4 linked regions of the Arabidopsis thaliana genome follow. The protein of the gene in region 1 interacts with the protein of each later gene in a biochemical or structural test. Each region holds a gene or a part of one and is shown in the gene's direction. Other genes may lie near its edges. The genes, in order: PTAC12, PIL1, PIL5 and PIF3.

What was found.
Region 2: the proteins of PTAC12 (region 1) and PIL1 form a complex in vitro, tested with the Arabidopsis thaliana proteins (one study listed by BioGRID).
Region 3: the proteins of PTAC12 (region 1) and PIL5 form a complex in vitro, tested with the Arabidopsis thaliana proteins (one study listed by BioGRID).
Region 4: the proteins of PTAC12 (region 1) and PIF3 form a complex in vitro, tested with the Arabidopsis thaliana proteins (one study listed by BioGRID).

What each region holds. Positions count from the first base shown.
Region 1 is NC_003071.7:14,580,698-14,588,106, reverse strand, and holds PTAC12 (plastid transcriptionally active 12), read left to right. Parts: upstream 1-3,309; 5' UTR 3,310-3,562; intron 3,563-3,740; 5' UTR 3,741-3,761; coding exon 3,762-3,845; intron 3,846-3,962; coding exon 3,963-4,643; intron 4,644-4,733; coding exon 4,734-4,846; intron 4,847-4,920; coding exon 4,921-5,180; intron 5,181-5,262; coding exon 5,263-5,384; intron 5,385-5,460; coding exon 5,461-5,529; intron 5,530-5,623; coding exon 5,624-5,677; intron 5,678-5,767; coding exon 5,768-5,863; intron 5,864-5,941; coding exon 5,942-6,046; 3' UTR 6,047-6,272; downstream 6,273-7,409. Other genes in the region: GPS1 (geranyl diphosphate synthase 1), read right to left, coding at 6,475-6,654, 6,730-6,918, 7,000-7,132, 7,317-7,402. UniProt on the Arabidopsis thaliana protein: Involved in plastid gene expression. Acidic transcriptional coactivator necessary for the transactivation of many PIFs target genes (class B genes), particularly during the regulation of hypocotyl growth.
Region 2 is NC_003071.7:19,293,740-19,300,698, reverse strand, and holds PIL1 (phytochrome interacting factor 3-like 1), read left to right. Parts: upstream 1-2,840; 5' UTR 2,841-3,020; coding exon 3,021-3,094; intron 3,095-3,161; exon of another isoform or gene 3,162-3,177; coding exon of another isoform or gene 3,178-3,185; exon of another isoform or gene 3,186-3,268; coding exon 3,269-3,803; intron 3,804-3,884; coding exon 3,885-3,992; intron 3,993-4,080; coding exon 4,081-4,146; intron 4,147-4,251; coding exon 4,252-4,317; intron 4,318-4,680; coding exon 4,681-5,082; 3' UTR 5,083-5,268; downstream 5,269-6,959. Other genes in the region: ASY3 (asynaptic protein), read left to right, coding at 269-403, 582-673, 769-831; CYP709B1 (cytochrome P450, family 709, subfamily B, polypeptide 1), read left to right, coding at 6,487-6,763, 6,863-6,959. UniProt on the Arabidopsis thaliana protein: Transcription factor. Involved in responses to transient and long-term shade. Required for the light-mediated inhibition of hypocotyl elongation. Necessary for rapid light-induced expression of the photomorphogenesis- and circadian-related gene APRR9.
Region 3 is NC_003071.7:8,701,984-8,709,300, reverse strand, and holds PIL5 (phytochrome interacting factor 3-like 5), read left to right. Parts: upstream 1-2,296; 5' UTR 2,297-2,516; exon of another isoform or gene 2,517-2,752; 5' UTR 2,753-2,762; coding exon 2,763-2,860; intron 2,861-2,948; coding exon 2,949-3,654; intron 3,655-3,786; coding exon 3,787-3,864; intron 3,865-3,953; coding exon 3,954-4,019; intron 4,020-4,101; coding exon 4,102-4,167; coding exon of another isoform or gene 4,168-4,182; intron 4,183-4,273; coding exon 4,274-4,612; intron 4,613-4,692; coding exon 4,693-4,776; 3' UTR 4,777-4,861; intron 4,862-4,941; coding exon of another isoform or gene 4,942-5,025; 3' UTR 5,026-5,277; downstream 5,278-7,317. Other genes in the region: AT2G20170 (NEP-interacting protein, putative (DUF239)), read right to left, coding at 5,906-6,292, 6,649-6,795, 6,890-6,940, 7,028-7,183, 7,266-7,317. UniProt on the Arabidopsis thaliana protein: Transcription activator. Negatively regulates chlorophyll biosynthesis and seed germination in the dark, and lightinduced degradation of PIF1 relieves this negative regulation to promote photomorphogenesis.
Region 4 is NC_003070.9:3,072,830-3,081,037, forward strand, and holds PIF3 (phytochrome interacting factor 3), read left to right. Parts: upstream 1-2,938; 5' UTR 2,939-3,023; intron 3,024-3,571; exon of another isoform or gene 3,572-3,629; 5' UTR 3,630-4,386; coding exon 4,387-4,457; intron 4,458-4,548; coding exon 4,549-5,428; intron 5,429-5,516; coding exon 5,517-5,624; intron 5,625-5,715; coding exon 5,716-5,781; intron 5,782-6,013; coding exon 6,014-6,079; intron 6,080-6,154; coding exon 6,155-6,538; 3' UTR 6,539-6,825; downstream 6,826-8,208.

The sequences.
Region 1 (7,409 bases):
TAGACAATTCAATACAAATTGTTTTGGACAATGCATAGAAGTTTTGTCTCTCCTAAAATGTGTAAACATGGACCACACACAAGATTACCGTCACGTCTTGTGTTGTTAATTATAATTAATTTTACTAATGAGCTTAAAAATAAGTAGATAATGATGATTTTACTGTTTACACTTTGAAAAAGAAAATAAACATTTAAGTCGAAAGTCAAAGTCTTCTTATTGGGAGAGGTGTTTCTTTCGCAGAAACCGAGGTTTGTAACTTGTCATTATTCCTTTCTCACTCGCTTACGTGGACCCAAGAAACTTCCCTTGCAATTAATAAATACTACTCTTTTCAAAATACAATAATTGGATAACTGAATTATGTTTTCTCTTTTCCTTAATTGATTTATATATTGAACCACTTTCACATTATAAATTTCGACATAATTTCAAAAAATATCCATTAATTCACAACGCAATAGTTAACGTTATTTATGTATTTTTTGGCCAAGATGCTAAACGTTGTACAAAGTAGACAAATTATCAAAAGTCCAAGAGAACCGTTTATAGTTTATGTAATTATTTTGGGAATTCTTTTATTTCATGGAAAGCTGAGGAGCAAAACGAAGTGACTCGAACCAACATTGATATAGACGCATACGTATGGCTAATGTTACTTGTAACTTGATATAACTGCAATCGTTTCTACTTTTTCACAAGATTAAAGATTCACATCACCGAGTTTTTCTGCGATAACATGCCACACATACAAATTTTGTTTCTCATACACTTACTAAACACAAATATCAATTGTCACTCACAGCGTACGTGATGATATGAAGAAGAGTTTTCTCAAGGTAGCTATTTATGTTTGTAATGTCAACTAACATGATGCTATTATGACCGAAGCTCTTCCTCAAGATATTTTCATTCTCTATTCAGTCGAATTTCGTCAGTTTCATCACCCTCAAGACATTTCGATTGAATAGCTTGTAATGACGTGTTATAAGCAAGAGTACACATAGTTGCTCGAGGTTGGTAGAGCAACTTAGAACATTGTTAGCTACACTTGTTCAGTGACTAGCACGGAATTGTATATAGAAAACTGCCCACACGTTACTAAATTAATGAAAAATATCCTTTCACACAAATGCTTGTTGATATCTATCTCTGGTCTAGCTTTAAACTTGATATTTGTCTCATTACCACACAAAAACAAGGGAACATAGTAGGTGATCGGGTATATCTATATATATGTACATTAAATAACAATTTTTTGTATCATCGGACCAAGCTTGTGACGGTGAACAATTGAAATGAATGGAGTATAGAATAATTGTGATTAATAATTGAAAACACATAAAATAACATGATTTGTTAGATCTTGATTAATACTATAATAGAAAGAAGAGAAGTGTGACAACACATGGGATGTACCCAACAACACAAGGGACAGCTTCACCAGTCTGATTTATGCCACTGTCCCGTTCTTGTCCTCCCTCTGCCCCACCACTCCTTTGTTTTATTTCATCAGTAATAATACTACTAATTTTAGTTAGTGTTTAGATTAATCATAATGCAATAAACAAAGAAAAATATCTGATTTTTGGTAGAAAAACATACCAGCAGCTCATATACTATTAGTTCATATTTTTAACCGATAGTTGATTGTTAAAAAGAATGTTGATTCAAGAATTTTGTAAGAATTGCAACATTGTTGAACAACAGTGGCAAAACATACCATAAACTAATAGATACTAGTAACTATGATCACTGATCAAATAATGTATAAATCGGAGATTATTCTATGTAACATTTAACAAAAGTGTATTACAAGTAAATAAAGAATAAACTTTTTAAGTTACGAATGGTAAAAAACTAAAGAAATTTGTTAGTTCTCTGTTTGTATGCATGCATTGTCTCTCTGCTAAAATGTTCATGACAAGTCCACATCTACTCAAATACTCATCGAGGTGATTATCCTCGTCGTCGCTTTTATACACATGTAATATTACACACATCTATACATGGAGTATATTTTTAGCGAACGGATAGGTGCCATGTGGAGGTAAGTACACGTCGCCACTTGTGAGATTCTGTTCCAATTACTTGTGGAAGTGAATTATGTCGCAGAAAAAGTTTGACGAGATTTCCAATTAGCCACTCATTTATTAACGGTCACCAAAAGCATCAAATTACAGTTTTTTTTAGTGCTTTGAGATTCTTTTCCCTGACATATTGTTTTATGTAAAATAGCAAACTCGAAAAGATAGTAATAGTATCCAAATTATTATTATTACAGTATTATTTTTGATAAAAGGTTGTTATTCTTTTTTTATTTTTTTATTTATTGTATCTATTATATAATTCGAAACTGCTATATTGTTTGTCTTTAGTTTGCATCTCTAGCTTTATATATGCTTATGAAGTTTCAAATGTTGCTATTATATGCTGCTGATTCTTTTTTTCTTATGTAGGAGTATAGGTTTGACCGTTTGACAATACGAGAGGAAGAGGAAGTTGGGAAAAAACGACGCCGCATGGATAGTCTCGCTCGTTGCACGAATAGTTCAAAAGGTGACGTTAGGCGCGTGCGGGTCAGCGAAACTTGTGCCTAGTCAGACCTTTGTGGTATAGTCTTACGTGGTCTACGTCTGCCAAATTTCAGAAAACCAAAAAAACAATTATATGTTTGGTCCCTAGAAATAAATATTATCGTCGTTTAGCAAGTTTGAAGTAAGCAATAGTAGTATTAATGTATAAAAAGTGTAGGATATTAGGTTAAAATAGGCCTGTGATAGATACCGTAATGTCTATGATGTGTCTGGTCAGACCCATTTAATATTGGTTCAGACCATATTAGCACATTAGCCAATTGCCATTCACGTTGGGTCCAAACCTTCTTCCTTCTATAGTGTCTTAGACAAGTACGTACACACGCTGAAGTACAAATCATATACAAGTATTTATTCACTTAAAGGTACAATGATTGATGTTTTTTGTGTAACATGTTCCTCTAGTCCACTATATTAATCCATTACGGAGAGAACTATCTAAAAATTGTATAATCGCAATTGTAAATTGCAAATCTATTAACAAAACTAAGATGTGTTCACATGCATACTTCGATAAACATTCTTCCATATATCTTTTGTGTTAAGGCATGTTTTAAATGATCAAATCACATATTGATTTTATTTGAAAGTATATCAATATAATAAACTGTTTAGAAGATGTTTTGCCAAAAAAGAAAAAGATGTTTTGTTCTTCTTGGAAGTGTTTGTTAAAGCCCAAGAGAGACTTCAAGCTCACAATTTCTCAAAGATCCATTAATACTGGGCCTTAGTTAGATATACCAAGCCCATATACTTTCTCTTCACAAATTCCCGTTCTAATACCGGCGCGTCGTGAAATCTAGAGATTTTGCCGTCACCAGAATATGTTAATAAACGCAGGAGGAGATAAATGGATAAACCCAAAAACTGACAAGTGAAAACCTTTTGAAGCCAAAACCCCCTTCAAAATCAAGCTCCATGATAGAAAACCCTCTTCCTACATAATCTCCTGGTAAAACAAAAAGGTTAGTCTTTTTCTCCTCAACTTCGAGTGTGAAGCGTTTGTAAAAATGCCCAAAAAAATCGTACCTTGTTATGGACAATTTGTTGTATCAGGTTCTTCTTATCTGGGTTTTATGTTTTGTACTAGTTTGAAACTGATTCTGAGCATAATTGAATCGGTTGTTTTTGTAAATGATACAGTGAGAAGTAGAAAGAGTGTAAATGGCGTCAATATCAACCACCACCTGGCTCTACCGAGGTCAAGTATGCACAGACAGTGGAAAGTCCAGTAATTGTATTGTGCAGGTTGGTTCTTACACATCAAGTTTCTTGTTCTGATCCAAACTTATCTAATTTAGAGATAGTGAACATTTTAGCTTGTTTCAAGATGTCAAACTGGTAAAAGTTTGTTTATGTATGTAGAGACGGGTTAAATGTGGGTTTCCACTCAAGACATTGCATGCTGGGATTACTTCTAGGGATCGGTCTTTGCGACATTGTATCAAATGCAAGAAAGAGGATGGAGATGGTGATGTAAGTGAAGGGTCTAAGAAGAGTGAAGAAGGATTTGAGTATGTGACTGTTGAGAGGCATCCTTACCATAGTTATATGGATTCAACTTCTGGGAAGCTTGAGCCAGCGTCCGGGGCTCGGGCTAGTATTCCAGGTGAGGATTATTGGCCTGAAGGAACTTCGAGCCGGGTTAGAGCTGCTAGAGCTCCTCAACCAGCTGGTGAGTCTTCGAGTTTTCCTTCCTATGGAAAGAATCCTGGAAGTAGGAGAAAGAAGAATAGGAAAGCTACTGAGGAGAATGTGACTGTTGAAACGAATGACGAAGTATCCGATTCTGAGGATAGCTCTGAAGAAGAGGAAAATGATTCCTCGGATGGGTTTGTTACCTATAAGAATGAATTTGAGAGAGAAGAAGAGGAGACTGGTTTTGAATTAGACAAAAAGCTTGGAAGGCCACATCCTTTCATTGATCCTACGAAAAAGAAACAAATTGAAAAGACACTCACGAGCGATGAATCGTGGTGGAACTGGAGGAAACCGGAGAAAGAACAATGGTCAAGATGGCAAAGAAGACGTCCTGATGTTGAAACGGTTAGTCATCACAATGATTTCAGGTTTAAACATGTGTGTGTTTCCCCAATGTTTGATCCATTATGGTATTTTTTTTTGTTGTTGATGCAGGTTTTCCTCAAGGCAATGGCAGAAACAGGACAAGTGAAGCTCTATGGGGAAGAACCAACACTCACAGAAACTTCTCTTTATAGAGCAAGAAGGCATCTTTTCAAGGAAGAGAGGTATATTGATCTAACGAACTTTCAAGTGAAAATCTGTTTTATTAGGATTTTCTTTCGAGTTTTCTTTCTCTCAGGCTGCAAGCTGAGCGAGAGAGATTAGCGAAAGAAGGTCCAATGGCTTTTTATTCTGAATGGGTTAAAGCATGGAAGAGAGACACGTCAAGAGAAGCTGTACAAAAACATTTTGAAGAGACAGGTGAAGATGAAAACACACAACTGATTGAGATGTTCTCTCATCAAACAGATAGAGAATACCGGATAATGATGGGAACTGATATTAGGATCAAGAGAGATCCATTGGCAATGCGGATGAGGGAGGATCAAATTAAGCAAAGTAAGAAACTTTGACCGTTGAAGTTTGAACTAACTCATCATGGATATTCAATCGTTCGACTAACATTCTCGGTTTCTTGCAGTTTGGGGCGGGGATCCAGTTTACCCGACAATTAACTACATTCAAGATCCTAATGCGGTTATGGATTTCAGAGGACCTGATTTTCATGAGCCTACACCAAATATGCTCTCTTATCTAAAGGAGGTTAGTCTGCTTTGCTCAAAGTTCTATTCTTTTTCTTTCTTGGTCTGATTGTTTTCTTTGTTTCTGATTTGATCAGAATGGCAAAGTCATCTCAAGAGAGATGCATGAAGCACTACTGACAAAAGAGAAAACCGAGCAGCTCGAGGTAAAGTGACCAATCTTTCATTTCCTTTGACACAACTCTGATTGTGAGATTTCAGGGTTTCGCTTGATATGTTCGATAAATTGTATGAATGCAGGTACCTGACATGGATGATGCAATGGCACAAGCTGTTGATATTGGTGAAAACGATGTGAGTATCATCGATTACATCAGATCCTCTTCTTCTTTATTGTTTCTTGATGTATCATGCTCTGAAACATCTCCGGACATTTTTTGACAGGACGACGAAGACGATGCAGATGTAGAAAAAGACGACGAGAAAGTGCCGAGGAACTGGAGTGTCTTGAAGGAAACCCCTGAGCTTCGCACCGCCAAGGTAAAGTCACATTCAACTTGAGCCACATTATATGTCTTGTGTGGTGTGTTGATGTTATGAGCTTGGTTTCTTAAACAGCCTAAACCAAAGAAGGAAGGTCGGATGTCTCTAGACGAGGCCGTGGATGATGCTGAGAACTTAACTGATTTTCTCATGGACTTTGAAGAGGAGACTGATCCTTAAACCTGGTTTTCGTATTTCTTATGTAAAGACGTTATTTAGGGCAACTTTTTCTTCACTGGTTTTGCTTGTATACTTGGAAGGGATGATATCATTTAGGAGTGGATTTGAGTTTTGCAAGTGATTTGTATCATATGGAATTCAAATATTTTTGATTGAATTTATAGAGTTTTGAAAGTGATTTGTTAACTGTACTGCATCCTGTTTAGTTCAGCTTGAGACGGTTTAATCTGTTAAAACAAGACCTAAACCGAATTCGCAAGGAATATGATTTCACAATTAGTATCTGTCTCCTTTTTTTGTCATGTGTAGTTTAAAACCAAAGCCACAGCTTGTCAAACATTATTGTTTCGTGAAACGAATTGGACCAACAAAATCCTACAAATGAAATGAGGAATGTTTTGGTGTATAGAGAGAAACATTACTTAATCTCACTTGTTTCTGGTGATGACTCTATGGGTCAAGTCAATAAGTGCCCGCCTCGATCTTTTGACATCTTCATTGTCTGTTTCAGGTAGAGACCCGATTGCAGCTGCTGCTAGATTCGCATGTTCCATGGCTAATTCTCTTGCCCTCTGTATTCCCTTGCTCTTCCCAAGATACTCTAAAGCCTGTGTGATATAATAGTATTAGAGACTATGAAAACATATTATAGATTTTAGGAGATTTGTTTCTTTCAAACTTACAATGTCAACATTCCTAGGATCTTTTTCAACTTGATCAACAACTTCGCGTAGTTGAGGAAACTCTTCCATGGCAAAGAGGATTGGGGCTGTTATGACTCCATGGCGAATATCTGACAACGATCCCTTTCCGAGAGAGGCAGATGTGCCCGTGAAATCAAGAATGTCGTCTATTAATTGGAATGCTAAACCCTGAAAAATTAGAAGTTCATCAAAGTACTGTAAGAAAATTAGTTGCAATGGAGCCAAAGTTTTCAGAAGAAGACAACGAACCAGATTCCTCCCATACTCAAAAGCTAACACGGCAACTTCTGCTGTTTGTCCAGTGAGAACGGCAACAGCTTTGCAGCTGTTAGAGATTAGCGATGCTGTCTTATAATATGTCTTCTGCATGTAGTAGTCCATACTGCAATCATGAAAAAAATCATATTTGCATTACCGATCACTATTATATGAATTCCAGTTCCTATATAAGCCGCGATCGGGTTTTTGATGATAAAATCGACTCTTGTTTTGATTCTCAAACATACATTAGTAGCATAGAAGACTTGAGTAGTCTTGTTTTTATCGACCAGAAAAGAAGATTATACCTATAACGCTGCTCGGTTGAACTAGTTATCTCCATGGTTTCACCGGTAACAAGATGTTCTACAGCAGTTGCAAGTAATGCTACAACCTACAAA
Region 2 (6,959 bases), 4.7 Mb from region 1:
TTCATGTCTCTTTGATTAGACACACACACACACCTAACTATACTTTCGGCTCTAACATAGACATGAAACTTGCATTTAACATAGTTATATCAAGACAAAGCTAAATGCTCAATTCATTCCTATGTGGAGAATAATAAAAAATTGAGCTGTGTATTGTTGTGGAACATGAGAGTCTGGAAATGTCTCCATATTTCCACTCATTGAATAAAAATATGCAAGATCCGTTCTGATCTATTGTGTTCACTGATAATATCTAATCGTCTAACAGAGCAAGAAGAGAAAATGAGAATGATCCATGAAAAGTTCAAGGACGATGTCAGCCATCATCTTGAAGATTTTAAGAGTACTATCGAAGAGCTTGAAGCAAACCAGTCAGAGCTGAAAGGAAGCATAAAGAAGCAAAGTATGTTAACTTCTGTAATTCCTGCTTTTACTACAACGAATTCTAACACTAGAAATACTTGAAACATATGATGTTATCAAAGTTAGATTCTTCATGGCAAGATAGTTTTAATATAATAATAGCAGGAGGACAAGTATTTCCTAAACTCACTTGATAACTTTTTATCTCTCTATGACAGGAACATCACACCAAAAACTCATTGCACATTTTGAAGGAGGCATCGAGACAAAACTGGACGATGCGACCAAAAGAATCGATTCTGTAAACAAGGCAAGTCATTGTTCTGCTTCTTAAGAGTCAGATTCTAAAAATGGTTAAATCATGAATTCAAAAGCACAACTTAAAAATGACGTATTGGTTTACAGTCTGCGAGAGGAAAGATGCTGCAGCTGAAGATGATTGTCGCAGAATGTTTGAGGGATGATTGACACTGAGTCTCACAGAATCAATCAACCACACGTACGTCGTTATTCTCCATTTTAAAACATAAACTAGACGAACTGTGTTAACCAGGAAAGAAAAACCTCTCAAGCAAAACCAGCCTTTGGTTTAGTGGTCTCATGAGTTCAGGCGAATAAAGAAGATATAGTAGATGATGCTTTGACTCATTGTCATTGATTCGTATTCGTATAGAATAGTTTATTGTTCACTGAACCACTACAAAACTACTTATATCATAGAGCCTTATTTTATATAGCAGTTTGAAGGTTTCTTTTTAATTTATTTTTGCCAGCAACTGCAGATATTTTTTATTAAACCAACAACTTTTAATTAGGTTATTGATATCTTGATATATATCGAAGCAAAACCAATCCAAACATTTTTCTTTTAAAAACCAGAATATTTTGCAGACGTTGATGTGAATTTTAATTACAATATTTTACTTTAACAGAGATGTATTTCATATTGAATATCAAAACCAAACTGAACAAAGAATGGTCACAATTCGATATCAATCGAATGAAACAGAAAATAAAATGTTGGACCCAACAATTTTACTGTGATGATAAAAACATGGTAGAGATAATTTTGTTTGTAAATAGAGAGATCTCAAATCACAGAGGATTCTTTTTTTACGGTCGGTAAAAGAATTTAGAATGTGTCGAGAGGGTAAAAATGGAGAAGACGACAAGATAGTAGCAGTCGTTAGAAACAAACAAGAAAGAAGGGAGGGAGACAAAATAACACAAAGGGGTGGATGAATCACGCGGCATTCACGTGAAGTGCACGTGAACTTGGCCAAAAAAAGCCTAATTGTGGGTCCCATTTAAAGAGAAAACTAAAGCCTTTAAGAAAGGGCCCATCCATATATGTCTTAATAATGGCGTGAAGGTTCTTTCCGCTCACGTGGGCCTTTTGTGCCCGTCTCTCTCGCATGTCACTCACTACAGTTTTACTAGTGTTTTGTTTTATTTTTGATAACAACATTATTGATTTTTTTTCGGTCTACCTAAGTTTTGACCTTTCTTTTTTAATTGTGAACAATTGAACATGCGTATTACTTATTGATAATACTTTTATCTTCAATAAAAAAAATAACACACGAACATAATATAGAAATAGTGTGTTCCAATACTGGAGATTATTTAGTAAGTTCAGTTGGACGCTTTGTCATTGCATAGTTTGGAATTTATTCCTAAACTTTCTAAGAACACGTTCTTATAGGAATTTGCATGACGAAAAAATCAATACTAGTTGCATTATTGTTGGAGCATCATCGGGAGTGATTTTTTTTGTGTTTTCCTATTTACTACATTGTGTTTTCCTGACCTTTTAAATAAAAAGGAAATACACAAAACCATATATAAATATATGTATATATATATCTGACTGTGCTCAAGTAAAATTCACGGATCAGACGTTAAAAAAATGATCATGCTTAATATTTTCTCATTTTAGATGAAGACAAAAAAAAAAAAAAGGAATTGCAATCGTAGATTTGACTTTATTTTTATTTAATTTTTCTATTCTTTTTCCGAAAGCAGAGAAAAATGGAGCGGTGGAGAGTAGAGAAGTCGGTCATAAGAATGTCTCTCTCTCTATTTCTTTGTCTTTCACTATCGCCCATACATTATCTTGCTTCTTTCATTTATTCCATCAATATTTTTGTTTTAAAATGAAAGATTTACACATTAACATGAATACTTATACTACTCTTTATCGCGTATATATAGTATAGTCTATGTTATTATGAATTTATGATTATATTTTTTCTATAAAACGTGCGAAAACTCATTTCACATATACAAACAAATATATACGTTTTGTATTAAAAAAAAGCAACTGTAAATTTTATAAATCTGAAATGTAACATTTGAAGTCGACCAAAGTTTGTAAGGTAATAATTTGTACTAATTCTCCATACTGTGTCATAATCACGATTCAAGGATAAATATATGAGTTGTGGACCAAAACAAATCCTCCATATCAATCAATCATAAATGAAATAAGCGAATATACATATATACAACCGACTATATATATATATATATGCTGCTCTTCATTAACCCCAAGAAAGAAAACCAAAGTGTGAAGTCCGAATCTCTCTGATTCTACAATTCACAAAAACCGGAAAAAAAAAAAGACAAGTAAAGAAAGCTTTGTTCAGTTTACTTCAATGGAAGCAAAACCCTTAGCATCATCATCATCTGAACCAAACATGATTTCTCCATCATCAAACATTAAACCAAAGTAAGTTTATTATGGTTTCATCTACACTTTTTGCGACTTCTATAAACATATACACATGCGTGGTTTTGAAATAATGGGCGCTTATGGTTCTGTCGGTGCTTGAAACAATTTTGTCTTCTCCTGACTATTTTTTTTTTGTTAATAGGTTATTTATACGTGACTCTTTTCTTGCAGATTAAAAGATGAAGATTATATGGAGCTGGTGTGTGAAAATGGGCAGATTCTTGCAAAGATTCGAAGACCAAAGAACAACGGTTCTTTTCAAAAGCAACGTAGGCAATCTCTCCTGGATTTGTATGAGACCGAGTACAGCGAGGGTTTCAAGAAAAACATCAAGATTCTTGGAGACACACAAGTTGTTCCGGTGAGTCAGTCTAAGCCACAACAAGATAAAGAAACCAATGAACAAATGAACAACAATAAGAAGAAGCTAAAGTCCTCCAAAATCGAATTTGAGAGAAATGTTTCGAAAAGCAACAAATGTGTTGAATCATCAACATTAATTGATGTTTCTGCTAAAGGTCCAAAGAATGTTGAAGTTACTACAGCTCCTCCTGATGAGCAATCTGCAGCTGTTGGTAGATCCACGGAATTGTATTTTGCTTCTTCATCGAAGTTTTCTCGAGGAACTTCGAGAGATCTAAGTTGTTGTTCTTTAAAGAGGAAGTATGGAGATATTGAAGAAGAAGAATCAACCTATTTAAGTAATGTAAGAGAAATTAATTAGCTGCTTGTCTTAGTTCTTTCACATGGTAGATCATTAATTGTCTTTTTCTTATTGCTTATGCAGAATTCAGATGATGAATCAGATGATGCGAAGACACAAGTTCATGCGAGAACAAGAAAGCCGGTGACTAAAAGAAAACGAAGCACAGAAGTCCATAAGTTATATGAAAGAGTGAGTTTATATGTATGAAAATTTCACCTTAGTTAGTAGAAAAAAAATAATGTATGAAAATTAATGCTAATTAAGGATTTGTTAACAGAAACGAAGAGATGAATTCAACAAGAAAATGCGTGCTTTGCAGGACCTACTACCAAATTGTTACAAGGTTTGAGATTAACTTAAATCACATTACATTGTTTACTTAGTCTTAGAGAGTTAATTAATTTTCTCTTTGTGGAGATTTCTGAATATCTGTAATTGTTGATGATAGGATGATAAGGCTTCATTGTTGGATGAGGCTATCAAATATATGCGGACCCTTCAACTTCAAGTTCAGGTATTCAAAATAATACACCAATTCAATAAAATTTCATTGAGAGATAATAAAATGATTCAGGTGTTAATTATTTAAACACAGACTTGTGTTTATATTTACATATAAATTTGTTTTTTAACATTAAAATATACTTTGTAAAGTGTTTTTGTTATCAAATATTATTGCGTTTGGCTTTTACCTTTACGAATGATTCTTGATAAAGTCACTAGAAACTAGTTTCATAAGAGAAACCAAAACAAATTATAAACGTAATTAAACACTAATCAATAAACAATCAAAAGTTTATTCCTTATTTATTTTACTACAAATTTTTTTACATATATATAAGATTCTTAATTAACATGCTCTAATAATTATTTACAGATGATGAGTATGGGAAATGGATTAATAAGACCACCTACGATGTTGCCAATGGGTCATTACTCTCCCATGGGTCTAGGAATGCATATGGGTGCAGCAGCAACACCAACATCAATACCGCAATTCCTGCCTATGAATGTTCAAGCAACCGGTTTTCCGGGGATGAACAATGCACCACCACAAATGCTAAGCTTTCTTAATCACCCAAGTGGACTAATTCCAAACACTCCTATCTTTTCTCCATTGGAAAATTGCTCTCAGCCATTCGTGGTGCCTTCGTGTGTTTCTCAGACTCAGGCTACTTCTTTTACTCAATTCCCAAAGTCTGCGTCCGCCTCAAACTTAGAAGATGCAATGCAATATAGAGGAAGCAACGGTTTTAGTTATTATCGCTCGCCAAACTAATGATTTGTAGAAAGTTGATGTTTTCTCCAACTAACTAACTTTAAGCAAAAAAAAATGATCGTCTACTCTGTGTTGTTAGTCTATGGGCTTTTGGGCCTTGATTCTTGGAACGATTTGAACTTAATTCCAACTATTTTCAAAGTGGATGTACAAAGTAAAATATAACAAATATAAGTTATCATAGACTCTATAACAAAGTTATAAGTAGAGGACGTGCAATTGCATAATGATGGATGATGATGAGTGTTCAATTACGATAAACCGATTTTAACGCAAACCCAACTAAGATGAAGACAACTCATTTGACCTAAATCGTAATTTGAAACGAATTTTGCCATGTTTTTGGGATTAAGGAACAATCTCAATGATGAGATTGAGTAAAGTACTACAAAACTTGGGCTTGATGGGCTTTTTAGTGGACTAATATCTACTTTATTCTTTCTTTTTTCAAACATTAAAAAATTAATTGGGCTTTTTCAAACACGAAAACAAGGGAGTGCAATAGTGTGATGAAGATGAGACTCACACATTGAATTTCTGATATTTTAGCGTCAGGTGCGTTGAAAACTTGAAATCAATGTGAAGATTCTCTTTTAAAAATAGATGACTCTTATTTCATGAGTTAACATGATACTTAAAGAAAGTGGATAGTTAAGTCTAAACCAATTCTTTTAGTATAGAAATAAAATTTCAACCACTTCCTTTAAATATGAAACCATGCAAAAGTAGATAACAAACGAAAAAGTGTTTCATTTTAAGATTCGATGTCACGATCCATCACATTGCACCGTTGGTTGATAAATATCTCTCATCTTTGTTTATTTATTTTCACAATGTTGTACTTCTATTTCTATAACATTTTCGTTTGAATTCAAATACCAAATTAACTCTCCAAACAATTAGTTCATCAAGTATTTTGTTCACAATGATATGTTAACAACAAATCATTGATTCATTGTCCATGCCGGATTATTTTAAAGATACAGAAACAGTAAACCTAAGATACAATGAATGCTAAAACTAAATTATTCTCCCAAAAGGATTACTTAGCTTTCATGAGTAATTTTATATTTTTCTTTTATCCACTCATTTTTTATATACTTTCTATAATTGTCTTATTACGTAACAAATATGTGCTATAGGCATATTTAGAATCTACTCTATCATCATACCATATATAAGACACATTTTACTTTATTAATTACTTTTTGTTTGTTCTCAAATTGAAAATAAACAGACGTGTTTGTGCTAACTTCATGTAGTGTTTAGATAGTGTTTCATTCACTGGCCATAGACTTATTTTACAAAGTTATATGTGCATGTCATTATATAGTGTAGAACTTAAAACACCTAACCAAGAACAACAATACACACACACAAACATAAGGAAAAAAAAACTTTTCCATGGGGCTCGTAATTTTCTTGGCACTAATTGTCTTAATCCTTATTATTGGTCTCAGGATATTCAAAGCTTTTATGATTCTTGTTTGGCATCCATTTGTGTTGACCAGAAGACTCAAAAACCAAGGAATCTCAGGCCCAAATTACAGAATCTTTTACGGAAACCTCAGCGAGATAAAGAAGATGAAGAGAGAATCTCATCTTTCGATTCTTGATCCTAGCTCCAATGATATTTTCCCTCGTATTCTTCCTCATTATCAAAAATGGATGTCTCAATACGGTGTCGTTTTCTCCAACTCTCTCTTTGTTCATCTTTTATTTTAGATTTTATTCGAGGATAATGCGTAACACACAAGTTATCTATGTTATATATTATTAGGAGAGACTTTTCTTTACTGGAACGGAACAGAGCCAAGGATATGCATCTCAGATCCTGAACTTGCAAAAACTATGTTGTCGAACAAGTTAGGTTTCTT
Region 3 (7,317 bases), 5.9 Mb from region 1:
TCAAATAAGAGACAAAAATTTTAGAATTTCTCACTTTTCTCTCTTATTTTTTTTTATATTTTATTAGTAATTAAGAGACTCCCATTAAATATGTTCTCTCTTAATGTCTCATTGTTTCAGTTCCTACTTCCTACAAAATCATAATTTGGTAAAGAAAAAAAGCTACATACAATTGCATAAGCATATGTAGTCTATAAGACGAGATATATATGATAATTTTCGGAATATTATTACTTAGCATTTTGTTTAAATATAACCACAATCAGGCTTTAATTTCAGTTTTTGTCTTGTCATTTGCATCTAACATAAAATATTATATTTTACTCTAAAGAACAAAAACGCAAATCATTATTATTCAATCAAAATTTTTTACGACTTTTTTATCAGGAGATAATATTTTTTTCTATTTTGCGTTTTGTTTAATTTAAAGTAACTTTGATGGTAAATCAAAATATATTTTAGATAGGTACAAATCATTTTAGCGGACAAAAAAAATGTACAACAGCAAGAGGGTGATTTAGCAACAAAATTTAGCTTGAAAAAATTGATGTTTATAGATTATGTCTAAATCTGAATAAAAGAATAAATAATTAAGTTTGATAGATCATGCAAGAGGGTGGTTTAGCAACAAAAATAAACATATTACCCTGTCTCATAAATCATTGAGATTATCAATAAAAAAAACACCCAATTTCTGTCTTAATATTGTCCCCACCAATGTGAGTCCATATCTGATTCTCTGTTTCTTTCTTCCCTACTTGGAATTATATAAAAATATGTATATACATATTAATGTGTATATATATATATATATGTGCGTGTTCCCATATCAATGATAAATGCTCTTTATCAAAAGGTAAAATGATTATAAAAAAAAATAAGTTGTTTCATTTTATTTGTTGTTTTCAATGCAAAATTTATTATTATTTTATTATTTTTGATTCTTGAAATTCTGCAACTTTTTATTGGTTAAATTATTTTAAAATATGTAATTAAACATATTTTTAAAATTTAAGAAAACAGAAACTAAATGATCTTAATCAATGTACCAAAATCTTAAACTAGAACAAAATAGAAACAAAAGAAGTATTATAGAAGAAATTAACACTTTGTTCACTAACTTGACTACTATAAATGATTATAAATTAACACTTTATGTAGCATTCGACTTTTCTGTTTATAGAAGAGGAGACTCACTTAAGTCTTTAATATCATGTTTGCATATGTTGTAGTCTTTTGTTTTTAACATCTTTGGATTGACATGGTCTATTCTATAGCCAATATCTATTATGCAAGATAACACGATTTAGTGGAGTCAAACTCTGGTGGAAAAAGCGGAATCAAATGGATTTAACCACAAGACTAAAGGAATATTTCCTGCAAGATATATGTAGTCTTAAATCTATAATTTAGCGATATAAAAAAGGACAATTTTTAAATATGATACTTAAGTTTTTGTTTATTTCTTTAAAAATACCACTTAATGTTTGGTTTCTTAAAATAACATAAAACTTAAATTTAACTTCCAACATTCAAAATTAAACTCTAAACTTTAAACACTAAACCCTAACCCCTAAAAACAATATCTTAAAATTAAAATGGTCAATTCAAACTTAATTTTTTTAATTCTGATGAACTCTTGAAAATCAAAATTGAAGTATAATATTTTTGGAAAACAAAACTTTTGGTGGTATTTTGACAACACAACTTGAAAGTGTGATATTTTGCTACAATACTCCTCTAGAATTCGAGGCTCCCTTAAAACAAAATATTATTTTCGTGTCAGTCATATTTTTTTGAGACATTTCTCAAAATACCACATTTTCAAGTCTTATTGCTAAAATACCATTTCATCCGGTATTCGATCTTCTATCAAAAGAAAATTATATTCATGTAGGATGTCTAGGTTTGGTCCAGACAAGTTAAATGGTAATCTGGTAACATGCGATTCAGTTATGTTTAAGTGTTAATCAGTTAATATTCTAAACTCGGAATAAATGTGTGATGATCCTTGAATATAAATTTATTTTGTAATACTTAAATATATTTTTACCAAAATTAACCGGATCATTGGATAAAGTTTATAAAATAATTTTTTTTTGATGATAATGCCATGAAAACAATTTATAGTACGGATGAGAAACAATGAGGCTGATTATTTTATCTCCGTCAGCTACAAATGATCTCAGACATTTTGTTTTTATGTTCAACTTGGTTTTTTATTCAGAGGTTAAAAAATGGGCACAAGTTTCTATTCAGACACATACACACATAAATAAAATAGAGAATTCACTGTTAAAGTTAGTTGACACAATAGTAAATGCGATACATGCTAGAGTCACGGAAGAGGCAAAAACAAACTCCAAAGAGAGACATATAAGAAAAAGACAAAAACCCTTAAGAAGCTTATCACATTCTTAAAGCACGAAAATTCAGAATAAGATTCAGTCATCCTTTAGCACAAAAAAAAAAAAAAAAAGATCCAGTCATCCAATACTAGTTCCCCAGAAATAAAGGTGATATATTTTTTTTTTTGAGAAGCCTATCCAGTACCAACCTCAATTCTCTAGGTTAGATATAGTCTGGGTAGTATATATGTTTCTTCACTGATTAGTAATCTCTGTGTGTAGTACACTTACTCACTAGTGCTACTCTTTTGGATCTTTCTGGGGTTTTTCTTTTGGTTATAAAACCAGAAGAAGAAGATAACTGTTTGTTATTTTAATACTTACCATTATCATCATCTTTGTAGAGAGAGAGATATGCATCATTTTGTCCCTGACTTCGATACCGATGATGATTATGTCAACAACCATAATTCTTCTTTGAATCATCTTCCTAGAAAATCCATTACTACTATGTAAGTTCTTTTATTCAAACTTATATTAAAAAAAAAAAAAAGTTTGATTAGTTCAAGATCTGAGTATTTATAGTATTGAAAACTTTAGGGGTGAAGATGATGATCTTATGGAGCTTTTATGGCAGAACGGTCAAGTTGTTGTTCAAAACCAGAGACTTCACACCAAGAAACCTTCTTCTTCTCCACCGAAGCTTCTTCCTTCTATGGATCCTCAGCAGCAACCTTCTTCAGATCAGAATCTTTTTATTCAAGAAGATGAAATGACTTCTTGGCTTCATTATCCTCTCCGTGACGATGATTTCTGCTCAGATCTTCTCTTCTCCGCCGCACCTACTGCGACGGCTACCGCGACGGTGAGTCAAGTCACCGCCGCGAGACCGCCAGTATCTTCGACGAATGAGTCGAGGCCGCCGGTGAGGAACTTCATGAATTTCTCGAGGCTGAGAGGGGATTTTAATAACGGTAGAGGTGGTGAATCTGGACCGTTGCTTTCGAAGGCGGTTGTGAGAGAATCTACGCAGGTAAGTCCTAGCGCAACACCGTCGGCGGCGGCGAGTGAATCCGGTTTAACACGGCGGACGGATGGTACTGACAGTTCCGCCGTAGCTGGAGGCGGCGCGTATAATCGGAAGGGAAAAGCAGTGGCTATGACGGCGCCGGCGATCGAGATAACCGGTACATCGTCATCTGTAGTGTCAAAGAGCGAAATCGAACCGGAGAAGACGAACGTCGATGATAGGAAACGAAAAGAGAGAGAAGCCACCACTACTGATGAAACTGAATCCCGTAGCGAGGTGAGTCAAAAAAACACAGAACAGAGTCGTTGTTAGCTATCGTGCGCAAGTCAAATACGGCGCATTTTAGTCTGACTTTGTAGTTTTCAGCGCATTTTTAATTAACTTTTTTGGTGTTTTCTTGTGGTGCAGGAAACAAAACAAGCACGTGTATCAACAACATCTACCAAGAGATCTCGTGCTGCTGAAGTTCATAATCTCTCTGAAAGAGTACGTTTGTGTTTTTTCTTATGTTTTTGTAATCTTTTTCGATAAAGATTTCGCAATGAATCTGAAGAATGTCGCGGATTTGGTAACAGAAACGGAGAGATAGGATCAATGAGAGAATGAAAGCTTTGCAAGAACTTATACCTCGCTGCAACAAGGTCTTCGACGATCTTTTTTCTTTCTCTTCAAGTTATTGTATACGTTAACCTTGTTACTGATTGTTGTTTCTTTGATCCTCAGTCAGATAAAGCTTCGATGCTAGATGAAGCTATTGAGTACATGAAATCTCTTCAGCTTCAAATACAGGTTCATTTTCTTTAAAGGATTCTAAGTCTTGAAAGCCCTTTTTAAGTTCTTGAAAATGTACACTTTACCATGAAAACTCCAGTTTATATGACTGAGATTAATGCAGATGATGTCAATGGGATGTGGAATGATGCCAATGATGTATCCGGGCATGCAACAGTACATGCCTCATATGGCGATGGGTATGGGTATGAACCAGCCTATTCCTCCTCCTTCCTTCATGCCATTCCCCAACATGTTAGCCGCTCAAAGACCTTTGCCTACACAAACTCACATGGCCGGGTCAGGACCGCAATACCCTGTTCATGCTTCTGACCCGTCAAGAGTCTTTGTACCGAACCAGCAGTATGATCCAACCTCGGGCCAGCCTCAGTATCCAGCTGGTTACACGGATCCATATCAGCAGTTCCGCGGTCTCCACCCGACCCAACCACCTCAGTTTCAGGTACTAAACAGTCATCTCTTTCCCAAAAATGACTAGTTCCTCTGCTTACAAGTCACAAGTTCTTATCTTTCTTATTTTAGAATCAAGCAACATCGTACCCAAGTTCGAGCAGGGTGAGTAGTAGTAAGGAATCTGAGGATCACGGAAACCACACAACAGGTTAATAATGTCCATGGAGCAACAAGAAGATCTGTTTTCACAAGCAAACACAATTTCTTATCCGACCCGACCCAACCACCTCAGTTTCAGGTACTAAACAGTCATCTTTTTCCCAAAAATGGCTAGTTCCTCTGCTTACAAGTCACAAGTTCTTATCTTTCTTATTTTAGAATCAAGCAACATCGTATCCAAGTTCGAGCAGGGTGAGTAGTAGTAAGGAATCTGAGGATCACGGAAACCACACAACAGGTTAATAATGTCCATGGAGCAACAAGAAGATCTGTTTTCACAAGCAAACACAATTTTGAGAAATTGACAGAGAGACCTAACATGTATATATATCGCCATCTGTTTCTTGTTTTTCTTTGGTTTGTTTTGTCCTCTCTTCTCAGGTTGTATACTTAGAGAGCTGTACATGTAATGATCCAGAGATCTAGGAATCAATACATAGAGGTTGCAGAGGCTTAGTGCAAAGAATAAATATGAGAAAGTTAGGTTCATATACATACCCGATCATTATTCTTTTCTCGTCTATTATTATTACTTTTGACGAAAGCAATTCTTGATTAAGCTTAACAGTGAATATTTACAAATGTTCCACTCCCAAGTCCCAAAGACTTATCGATACAAATGCACAAACAAATCTTAGTCCTTGCAACTAAGCTCACAATGTGACACAAAATATGTAAATAGACGGACAAAAGCCAGCAAACAAAAGCAAGAAAATTAATGATGTAATTGGCCAAGCATTGCCCATTTTGTAGTGTCTTTCATAGGATCTCTTCATCTAAAAACGTAGTGATGTCAACTAATATGGTATCTCCAGTCCATGACCATAATATCGAAAATATAAAGCTAAAAGAAAAGGCAAACAAATTTCTCAAACCGTTAAGACTTGCTATCTCCATGACCATAAGACTTGACAAACATGCATATATATGTATCAAACCGTTAAATCAATTTTGTATTTGCTTAATAAAGAAGATGTAAAAAGAAGTTTAACATTTATAGTATTTGAAAACTTATATATTAGTATTACTATTTCCTTATTTTTGTCAAAGTTATTTTACTATATATTTCCTTAACACATCAAAATAGAAGGTATACTTATACGTAAATGACCTTAAAGATTTGTTAAGTAATGGTGCATCCTCCTGGTCCTCCATAGAAAATTGCACTAGACCACTCCTCACCGACCCCTGTTTTTGTTTCGACTTTATAACATTTTGGGCTGTTTGCGAATAATCTTAAATCTTTAACTGGTGGACTTCTAATTTTTTCTATTTCACGATCTATCACTTTAAGGCCGTTCACAAAAGCTGCCTTTTTGAAACCTTCTTTTGGGAAATGTCCACTTCCCATGAGTGGGCTTGTACTCTGTCTCAGTGCACTGAAAACTTCTCCTCCCCAAAACACACGACTTGCTCCATAAGCTAAACCTTGAACATGAAACAATGATTTTGGCCAATACCCAATTGGCTCGTTCTTTATCAAAAACCACCAGTTTCCTGTAATATTATCCTGCTTAAACCAAAAGCAGTAACTCTTTTAGAAGTAGCGATTGAAATTAGAGTTTTTTTTTTTTTTTTTTTTTATATATAGGTTTTATGGAAATTGAAACCAAATGAAAACATTTTTAATTCTTGGTTTTGGTTCATGAAACCAAATCAAAACGTAAATTTATAAAGTTTTGCTTATTCTTTATTCGATTACACAAAAATAATTTTGGGTTGTTTCTGACTTGAGTTATAAGTAAACAATAGTAATCATCGGTCGATATTTTTACTACCATTTTTGGTCAATATATATACCTAAGTGTTATGCAACATCGACTTGTCAATATGAGTGGGATTTGAGAAACATGGGGTTATATATACCTGATAAATGATGGCTTGTAAATAGTATTGTTCGCCATCATAAGTGGAAGTTGGTCTGGCAAGAGTTCCAAGTGCGAGCTTGCTACTCACTTGTACAAACCCTGGACATACTGTATTGTAGCAACCTGTCTTCTCATGTCCATCTGCCTGTTTCCATCATAAATTCCAACCAATTTAGCCAGTGTGGCTTGACATGCAATGTAGTGAACTATCAAACTTTCAATATGTTTGAAGAACTTACGGTCCAATATGTAAATAAGCCACTATTATTCTGATTTAGTTTCGGGGACACCTGTAAGATATTTATTTATTTTACAATTTTATAGGTTTTCTTTTTGAATTGTTATGAAATTTTGAAGTAATTTTGTTTTTGACTTACTATCCATCCAGCTGAAATGCTCTGTAAACTGTCTCTAAAACCGTTCTCGACATATATACTTGCAAGACTAAATTGATCAGGGTTGACAGGTGGATCCCATAAATTTATGTTTCCCGTTGCTCCATAGTTGTCTCTATAGTATTCAGCTATAGCAAACTAAGATAAACAAAAGAGGAAGAAACAAAAAAATTAAGCACTTGTTAGGGTCTCAACTATGTGAACAAGAAGCTTTTCTTACATGACGACCGGTCATATTGAGGAAATCCTTGTCTTTTGAAGTTGTATACTTA
Region 4 (8,208 bases), on another chromosome or scaffold:
ATCTATCACCATCGTCGAGAATAATTTACCTGCTGATCATGATCATCTTCTCCAACAAATTTGCTTTTGTGTTGACGTAAAGTGACGTTTTGATAATATATATAGCAAATGTATCTGACCTTTTAAATTGTGGAAGGGCCAGTTCTAAGAAAAGAAAGAAAAAAAATGAGCTAGGGTTCTCTTTCCTAAGTTGTTCATGATAATGAGGTAAAAGATTAATGCCAGTATAAACTTCTGGCACGTGGTCGGCTAGCTAAAGATCAGATCTTTTATTTTTGTAGAGAATGTAGAGTAAGTGATCAAAAACCTGTTGTTGGCCTATTCCACGGCGGATTGAGAGAATTGTGCGGGGACAGGGTCTTGTCATTTTATTTGAGTTTTGGCCTAACATATAGCAACTAGATCATAACCCGTATATAGCACGGACATTAATATTTTATATAAATTAAATTGTATACTTTGTTATGTTTGCTATGTTTGTTAAAATTATTTGTTATATTTGTCAAACTTTAGTAAAATATATTTAAATTAAATTAAATTTATTAAAACTTAATAAATTTAAAAGTTTTTTTTGTTTGGAGACGCACTATTTACATACAAAATATCCGTTTCTATTTTTTGAGTACTTTTAGGGCCTGAAACTTTTTATCCAAACTGACCTAAACCCAACTGGACGCGACCCGAACCGAATATTTAGAATTATTCTATTAAATAGTAAATCATATACCCATTAATCCCAAACCCGAACGGGTTCTACATGAACTCGAATGGGTTACTCATATGTCCAGCCCTATTCTCTGATTTAATTATCTAAAAAATCCCAATAAACATATGTTTTGGTGAGTACTTTTTATTCAAAAAAATTTACATCCTCTTCTGCCAAAATCATTTCATAAGACATCCCAAAATCTTTGGAATAATGATTCCATGAATGAAGAATCCTAATTTGAATATACCAAGAGGTTTTGAAAGGTTTTAAGTTTTTGATAGGTGTGTATGTGAGAAGGTACATCCATCGTGATGGTAATCTGCTTATTTATAATTTTAACTTGCATTATACAGCAGATAGGCTTATATTTTAGTTAAACTAAAAACTTTTATTGTAAAATTGATTATAAATATATGATATTATTTTATTTGATTTTAAATGTATAGAAACTACGAGTTGTATATGTTTTGTTGATATTATTTATATTGTTTAGTGTTTAAAATTATATACTTGTATTTTGATTGTTAATTTTAGAGTTTCACATGTAGTATACCATCTTGTATTAATATTGATTTAAACCCGTCAATTGTAGGATTTTTCAGCTTGTATTAAAAATTGAATCACATCATACACATTAAAAAATCTAATATGTTATTAATTATTGTAGTATATAAGATTATAAATTTTAAAATAATATGTATGAAATTGAATATAAATATTCAAATTATGACACAGTACTCAGTAATTTTTTTTCTTAAATCTACTTTTGACCCGTTATAGTATTTTTTTCATGTACTGAACAATTTATATTCGTTTTTAAAAATTCAAATTGTGGCATATGCGAAAAAACTCTAATTATTTTTTTATAACGATGATATTATTTTTTCGCAAAAATAGAATCATATAAAGATGAGAGGTGAATTATAATAATTAATAAAAAATTAATATGATAATATTGATATCAAATCTAATTTGTTGATTTTAATTGGTTACTTTTTTGGAAATTAATAATGTATTTCGTTTTTGAGTTAAATTTAATTAATTAAATTAGTATTTGACTTTTTAATTTTTAAAGAAATGAATTAATTTACTCTTTAAAATTTTATTTCTAATGGCATACGTATGTAATTACTTACAAAAAATAAGGTTACATTTTAAAAATTAATATGATAATTTAGATATCAAATCTAATTTGTTGATTTTAATTGGTTACTTTTCTGGAAATTAATAATGTATTTCGTTTTTGAGTTAAATTTAATTAATTAAATTAGTATTTGACTCTTTAATTTTTAAAGAAATGAATTAATTTACTCTTTAAAATTTTATTTCTAATGGCATACCTATATAATTACTTACAAAAAAGAAGATTATATTTCAAATGTACTTCCCAAATAATATAGTAGGATCACTTCCATTCCGAGTTTTCTTCTTTCTTTGATATATATATCTACTTATTTATTTACTCGGTTTGATTTTATAATAAATTTGTTTATAATTATTTTCTGAACAAGAGATGGCCATAAAATACAGTGATGAAATCAATAATGGTCCATGCAAATGTACTCAAATTATCCACTTGGAAAGTTTATAGTATACAATGGGTTGTTACGTATTTTAGAATCTAATTTGCATGGCGATTTAATTGACATTTCATCATCAACCGAGCTATAACGAGAGATAAACCAGAAGATGCAACGTTCGTGAACAAACTCGACTGATATTCTAGATGGTTTTATTTATTTTTTACTTATAGAAAGGAACAAATTAGATTTAAAGATAATATGCTCTAATCTAAGAGTTTGGAACCACTATACCACATACTATATCCCATGATTAAAAAAAATCTCAATTATTATAGCGCAAATGATTGGTTTTCATCAGTTAATAGAACTTGCTGAGTGAGTCCCCAAATTTGAGGATGATTAGTAATTTAGTATCGTAAAGACTAAAAAAGACTTAAGAAAAATAGTAATGATTAGAGAAGTCAAACCTTTAATAATTAAGATAGATAAAGAGAGACAAGGTTGCTCAACCCCACTTGGAGTGTGATGCTTTTTTGGCAGTGTTCCTTTATGATAACACATCTCTTCACACACAACTTTAGTGTATCACAGGCCCATGTCACTTTAAGATAAGATAACATATTCTAGTATATGATTATTTTCATATTTGTAAGTGTATTAAATTATTCATAGACACACCATGAATTAATTGTAATAATGCGAAGGACCTGTATCATGTAACAGAGACAGACGAAGTGTGCAGAGGTCGGTGAGAAGCAATTTGGTCACCATGCTCCAACTCTCTTCTCTAGGTCCCTTTTGCTTTAATTTTCTCGTTTAATAACAATATCTTATGAAAGCAGTTACCATATCAATTGAAGGATTGTATAATACCGTAATTTATTTATATATAGTACATCTAATTAAACATTAATTATTTCTACTAATAGCCTAAAACCACTACTAATACAACAACTAGTACTTGTTTACGATAATTATTAAACTTGTCTCGATACCTACAACATGCCCAAAAAAGTAATCAATACTTTGTTTAATCACAAAGATCTCAGTGAGATGGTTCTATAGATAGTATTTCTGATTTGTTAGTATATTAGAGAATTGACCATCTATTAAAATAAGAGAATGAACACTATTTGATAAAACAATACATACGCAATTATCATTGTCTTTAATTTTTATCAAAGTAATCATACGATCGACTATTTGTATGCAAAAATTCATCATTTTATTTGCAAAAAAAAACAAACAAACATGGTAGAATTGTATTTGGTGTGTGTTTTAACAAATTGTTGCAATGTTTAGTGCAACATATATAATCCACTATATATAATCATTGACATAATTAATATTTGATTATATGAAGCAATTTCTCTTTAATTATGTGTTTATAAATATAGGGAGAAAAGAAAAATAGAGAGAAAGGTAAAGAGTAGAGCTAATGATTCGGGCGACGCTAAAAGGTTGAATGTTCGAGAGAAACGGAGTCTCAGAGACTGTGAAAACAAAAAATCAAAATCCTCAGTTACAGACGATTTGGTCCCCTCTCTTCTCTCTCTGCGTCCGTCTTGTGCGTCGATTTGTCTCCATCTCCTTCTCTCTCCGCCTACTTTCTCAGGACTACTCCAATTCGCCGACTTTTTCTCCTCTGTTCTCTGCATTTGGATTGATGCCACTTTAATACTTTGAGGTTCTCACTCTCTCTTTCTCTCTTCGCTGACTTCGATTGCTTCAGTACCCTTTTTCTCAGGTCAGCTACGATGATAGCTTTATTCAGACAAGAAGATCAAAGTTTTGATCTTTTTGTTTTGGTTTTCTTAAGAGATGGTTAATTAGGTCTTGAGTGCGCTGTTTTGAATCGTTCTTCAGTGTGATTAAACAATTGGTTTTGATTTGACTAATCATGTTGCCATTAAACTAAGTGAAAATCTCTGCTTTTTTTATATTGCATATTGATGATTGAGACATTGATTTCTTTTCTATTTCTTTATTTCCCAGTTTCTAATTTGGGAACTGAAAAGTTTTCTAATTTAAGCATTACAAAGTGTACAATTTTTGTTTCTGGCAAGTTTTTCTTGGCCTAATTCGTCTATTTTATGAATTCACCTTTTTAGGATCAAGACTTCGTAAAAGATTGTTTCTGTAAAACGCAACACCATGCCTCTGTTTGAGCTTTTCAGGCTCACCAAAGCTAAGCTTGAATCTGCTCAAGACAGGAACCCTTCTCCGTGAGTCCCATTCACTTGTCTCTCTTTAAGTCTGCCTTGTTTCAAGTTCATCAAATTCATGTGTTTTTTTGTTGTGTGTGAAAAATAACAGACCTGTAGATGAAGTTGTGGAGCTGGTGTGGGAAAATGGTCAGATATCAACTCAAAGTCAGTCAAGTAGATCGAGGAACATTCCTCCACCACAAGCAAACTCTTCTAGAGCTAGAGAGATTGGAAATGGCTCAAAGACGACTATGGTGGACGAGATCCCTATGTCAGTGCCATCACTAATGACGGGTTTGAGTCAAGACGATGACTTTGTTCCATGGTTGAATCATCATCCCTCCCTTGATGGATATTGCTCTGATTTCTTGCGTGATGTGTCGTCTCCTGTTACTGTCAACGAGCAAGAGAGTGATATGGCGGTAAACCAAACTGCTTTCCCGTTGTTTCAGAGAAGAAAGGATGGCAATGAATCAGCTCCTGCTGCTTCTTCGTCGCAGTATAACGGTTTCCAATCGCATTCTCTGTATGGAAGTGATAGAGCTAGAGATCTTCCTAGCCAACAAACCAATCCGGATCGGTTTACTCAGACGCAGGAACCACTAATTACTAGTAACAAGCCTAGTTTGGTCAACTTTTCACATTTCTTACGCCCTGCAACTTTTGCGAAGACTACTAATAATAACCTTCATGACACTAAAGAAAAGAGTCCTCAAAGCCCGCCAAATGTGTTTCAGACCAGAGTTCTTGGAGCTAAAGACTCTGAAGATAAGGTTCTTAACGAGTCTGTTGCTTCTGCTACGCCTAAAGATAACCAAAAGGCTTGCCTAATATCAGAGGACTCATGTAGAAAAGACCAAGAGAGTGAAAAAGCAGTTGTATGTTCTTCTGTTGGCTCGGGTAATAGTCTCGATGGCCCATCCGAAAGTCCTTCACTTTCTTTAAAGAGAAAGCATTCGAATATTCAAGACATTGACTGTCATAGTGAAGTGAGTTAAACTCATGTCATTTTATGCACATTACAATTTCGTTTCTTTGTTGTTTTCTTCAGTTTTTTTATTGAATATTGTTGAGCAGGATGTGGAAGAAGAATCAGGAGATGGAAGAAAGGAAGCAGGTCCATCTCGAACGGGTTTGGGTTCAAAGAGAAGCCGCTCTGCAGAAGTGCATAATCTGTCTGAAAGGGTGAGTGAGTGAAGCCCCTAAAGGGTTTTTGTCCATTCTCAAACTCACAAAAGATTGCTATATTTGGTAACTTACTGTCCTCAATTTTCAGAGACGGCGTGATAGGATCAACGAGAAGATGCGTGCCCTGCAAGAACTCATTCCAAACTGTAACAAGGTCAGCTTCTTCTCCTTTACAAATACCATTCATGATTCATTTTTGTTTGAAAGATAAGGAGCAATGCCAAATAAACTAAAACTTGCATCTTAGAACGAATTGCTAAAGGTTTTTGATTGGTTTCCGTATTTATTAAACCGGAAAAACAATTGAAACCATATTGTAAGCAAGATTGTTCAAGCCGAGAATTTTCGTATTTAATCAGCTTTTGTAACATTTATATGGTTTAAAGGTGGACAAAGCTTCGATGCTAGATGAAGCCATCGAGTATCTCAAGTCACTCCAACTTCAAGTGCAGGTAACACTCTCATTACTCTCTAGAGTCGATAAAAATCGTGCAAACTAATAATCTAAACACAATAATCGCCAACAGATCATGTCAATGGCGTCTGGTTACTATCTGCCACCGGCGGTTATGTTCCCACCGGGTATGGGGCATTACCCGGCAGCAGCTGCTGCAATGGCAATGGGTATGGGAATGCCTTATGCAATGGGCTTGCCTGATTTGAGCCGTGGTGGTTCATCGGTTAACCACGGACCACAGTTCCAAGTCTCGGGGATGCAACAACAACCAGTGGCGATGGGTATTCCACGTGTCTCTGGTGGTGGTATCTTTGCCGGTTCTTCGACGATTGGCAATGGCTCGACTAGAGATTTATCTGGTTCTAAAGATCAAACAACGACGAATAACAACAGTAACTTGAAACCAATAAAGAGAAAACAGGGGTCTTCTGATCAGTTTTGTGGATCGTCGTGACATAAATACAAACTTATGAACTGATGTATTGTTTATTTGTAGCATTCAAACAAATCTATTTTATAATCCTAAACAAAATTAATTTGTGTTCGTTATAACAGTGAAGAGCTTTGTGCTTATTGGTGGGTTCTGTTCTGTTTCTTGTTTTGAATTAAAAAATGTTTTTAATATTTTCAAAGGTTTTGTTCCCTTTTTAATGTAGCGTGGGGTTCACTATATAGATGGACCTGGTTAAACAAGCGTGATGGGCTTCTCAGCCCATTTTGTTAAATAACTTAATTATGACATTTTCTTTCGATTTCCTTTTTTTTCTTTTTTTGGGCCAGGACTATTGAACTAGTGAAGCTGAATATATACCCACGCGAAAATTGAAATTATTGGAAGTTTTTTTTTTTTTTTTTTTTTGTTGGAACCTATAGGGTGTATATAAGTTACATGATACACGGTGTTTGAGCGCATCACTTAGCTTGATATGTAGTTTATGTTATACGTAGTAAGTGATTCGCTCACGCATGACTGTTACGTTTTCTTTAACAAAAAGAAAGGGAATCGATGGTTAGGGTTAGGTCAACGATCGGAGGAGTTGAGCTAGAGCCTAGAGAACCATAGTTTGGAAGAGGGCAAATGTGAGCTCCTGATTTGTTTCTCGGATGCTGGAAGCTATATATATGTCCATGATTGTATCGATTGGGAGTTTTGTCGAAAGTAAAAAATTTCTTCCTCAATTCTTTAGGAAGTTTGTTACTTTGTTTTATGTTCACAAAACGTTGTCAACTTCTCGTAGATGCTTGTTTCTATAGTTAGAGATGTTTTATATACCCAGCCTGCCAGCCAGCGAGCAGACTTTTATTAATAGTTTCCCCTATATATAGGCTATATAGCTTTAGCGTAAACTTAAGTTCTGTGTGGTAAATCGCGTCTTCACAAACATTTTTGCACCAAAGACTTCTTAAAAGTAATATATAGAAGAGAAATTTAGATGATTCTGTCCTCGTTTAAATTGATGAGACTTATTAAACTTAAGTAATGCATAATAAATAAAACATTAAAACCTTTAGTACTGAAAAAGGTAGTCTATATAGTGGAAAGCAGAGAAGAACAAAAAAGGGTTTATACTTCCATTTAGATTTTGTATCTTCTAATGGAGGTGGATTAGACAGCTCTAACTAATTACGAAAGACAACAAGCAGTAGAAAATGGACACGTCGAACACCTAGGGAGACAAATTAATGAATTACACGAGGTTTAGATCGAAACTTGAAATAGAAGAAAATGGTGTTAATGTGGCAAAGCAAAAGAAAAGTTAAACATCATTTTGCTTTTGGCTACATTAATATATCAAGATTACCTATGATTATGTCTCTTCTTCTCTCCTTTCTTACCAGTTAGATTGGGCCATATTAGAGAGAAATTCAACCATACAAGCCCTCTTTTCTCACTTTTAATCAAATCTGTAATATTATTTGCCTTCTTTTCTAAGTTTGATATTTTTCTCGACCACAAAATCACAAAACACAAATCAAATGATCAGTTTTGGAAAAGCAAATGAGGCAAGCAATTAGTAAAAATAGCATAACCACTTGGGTGTTTAATTTTTTTCCGTATAATCCAAAAGTATTTTTTCAGTAGAACTACAACATAAAATAAAGGACTTAATTAACAAGTATATA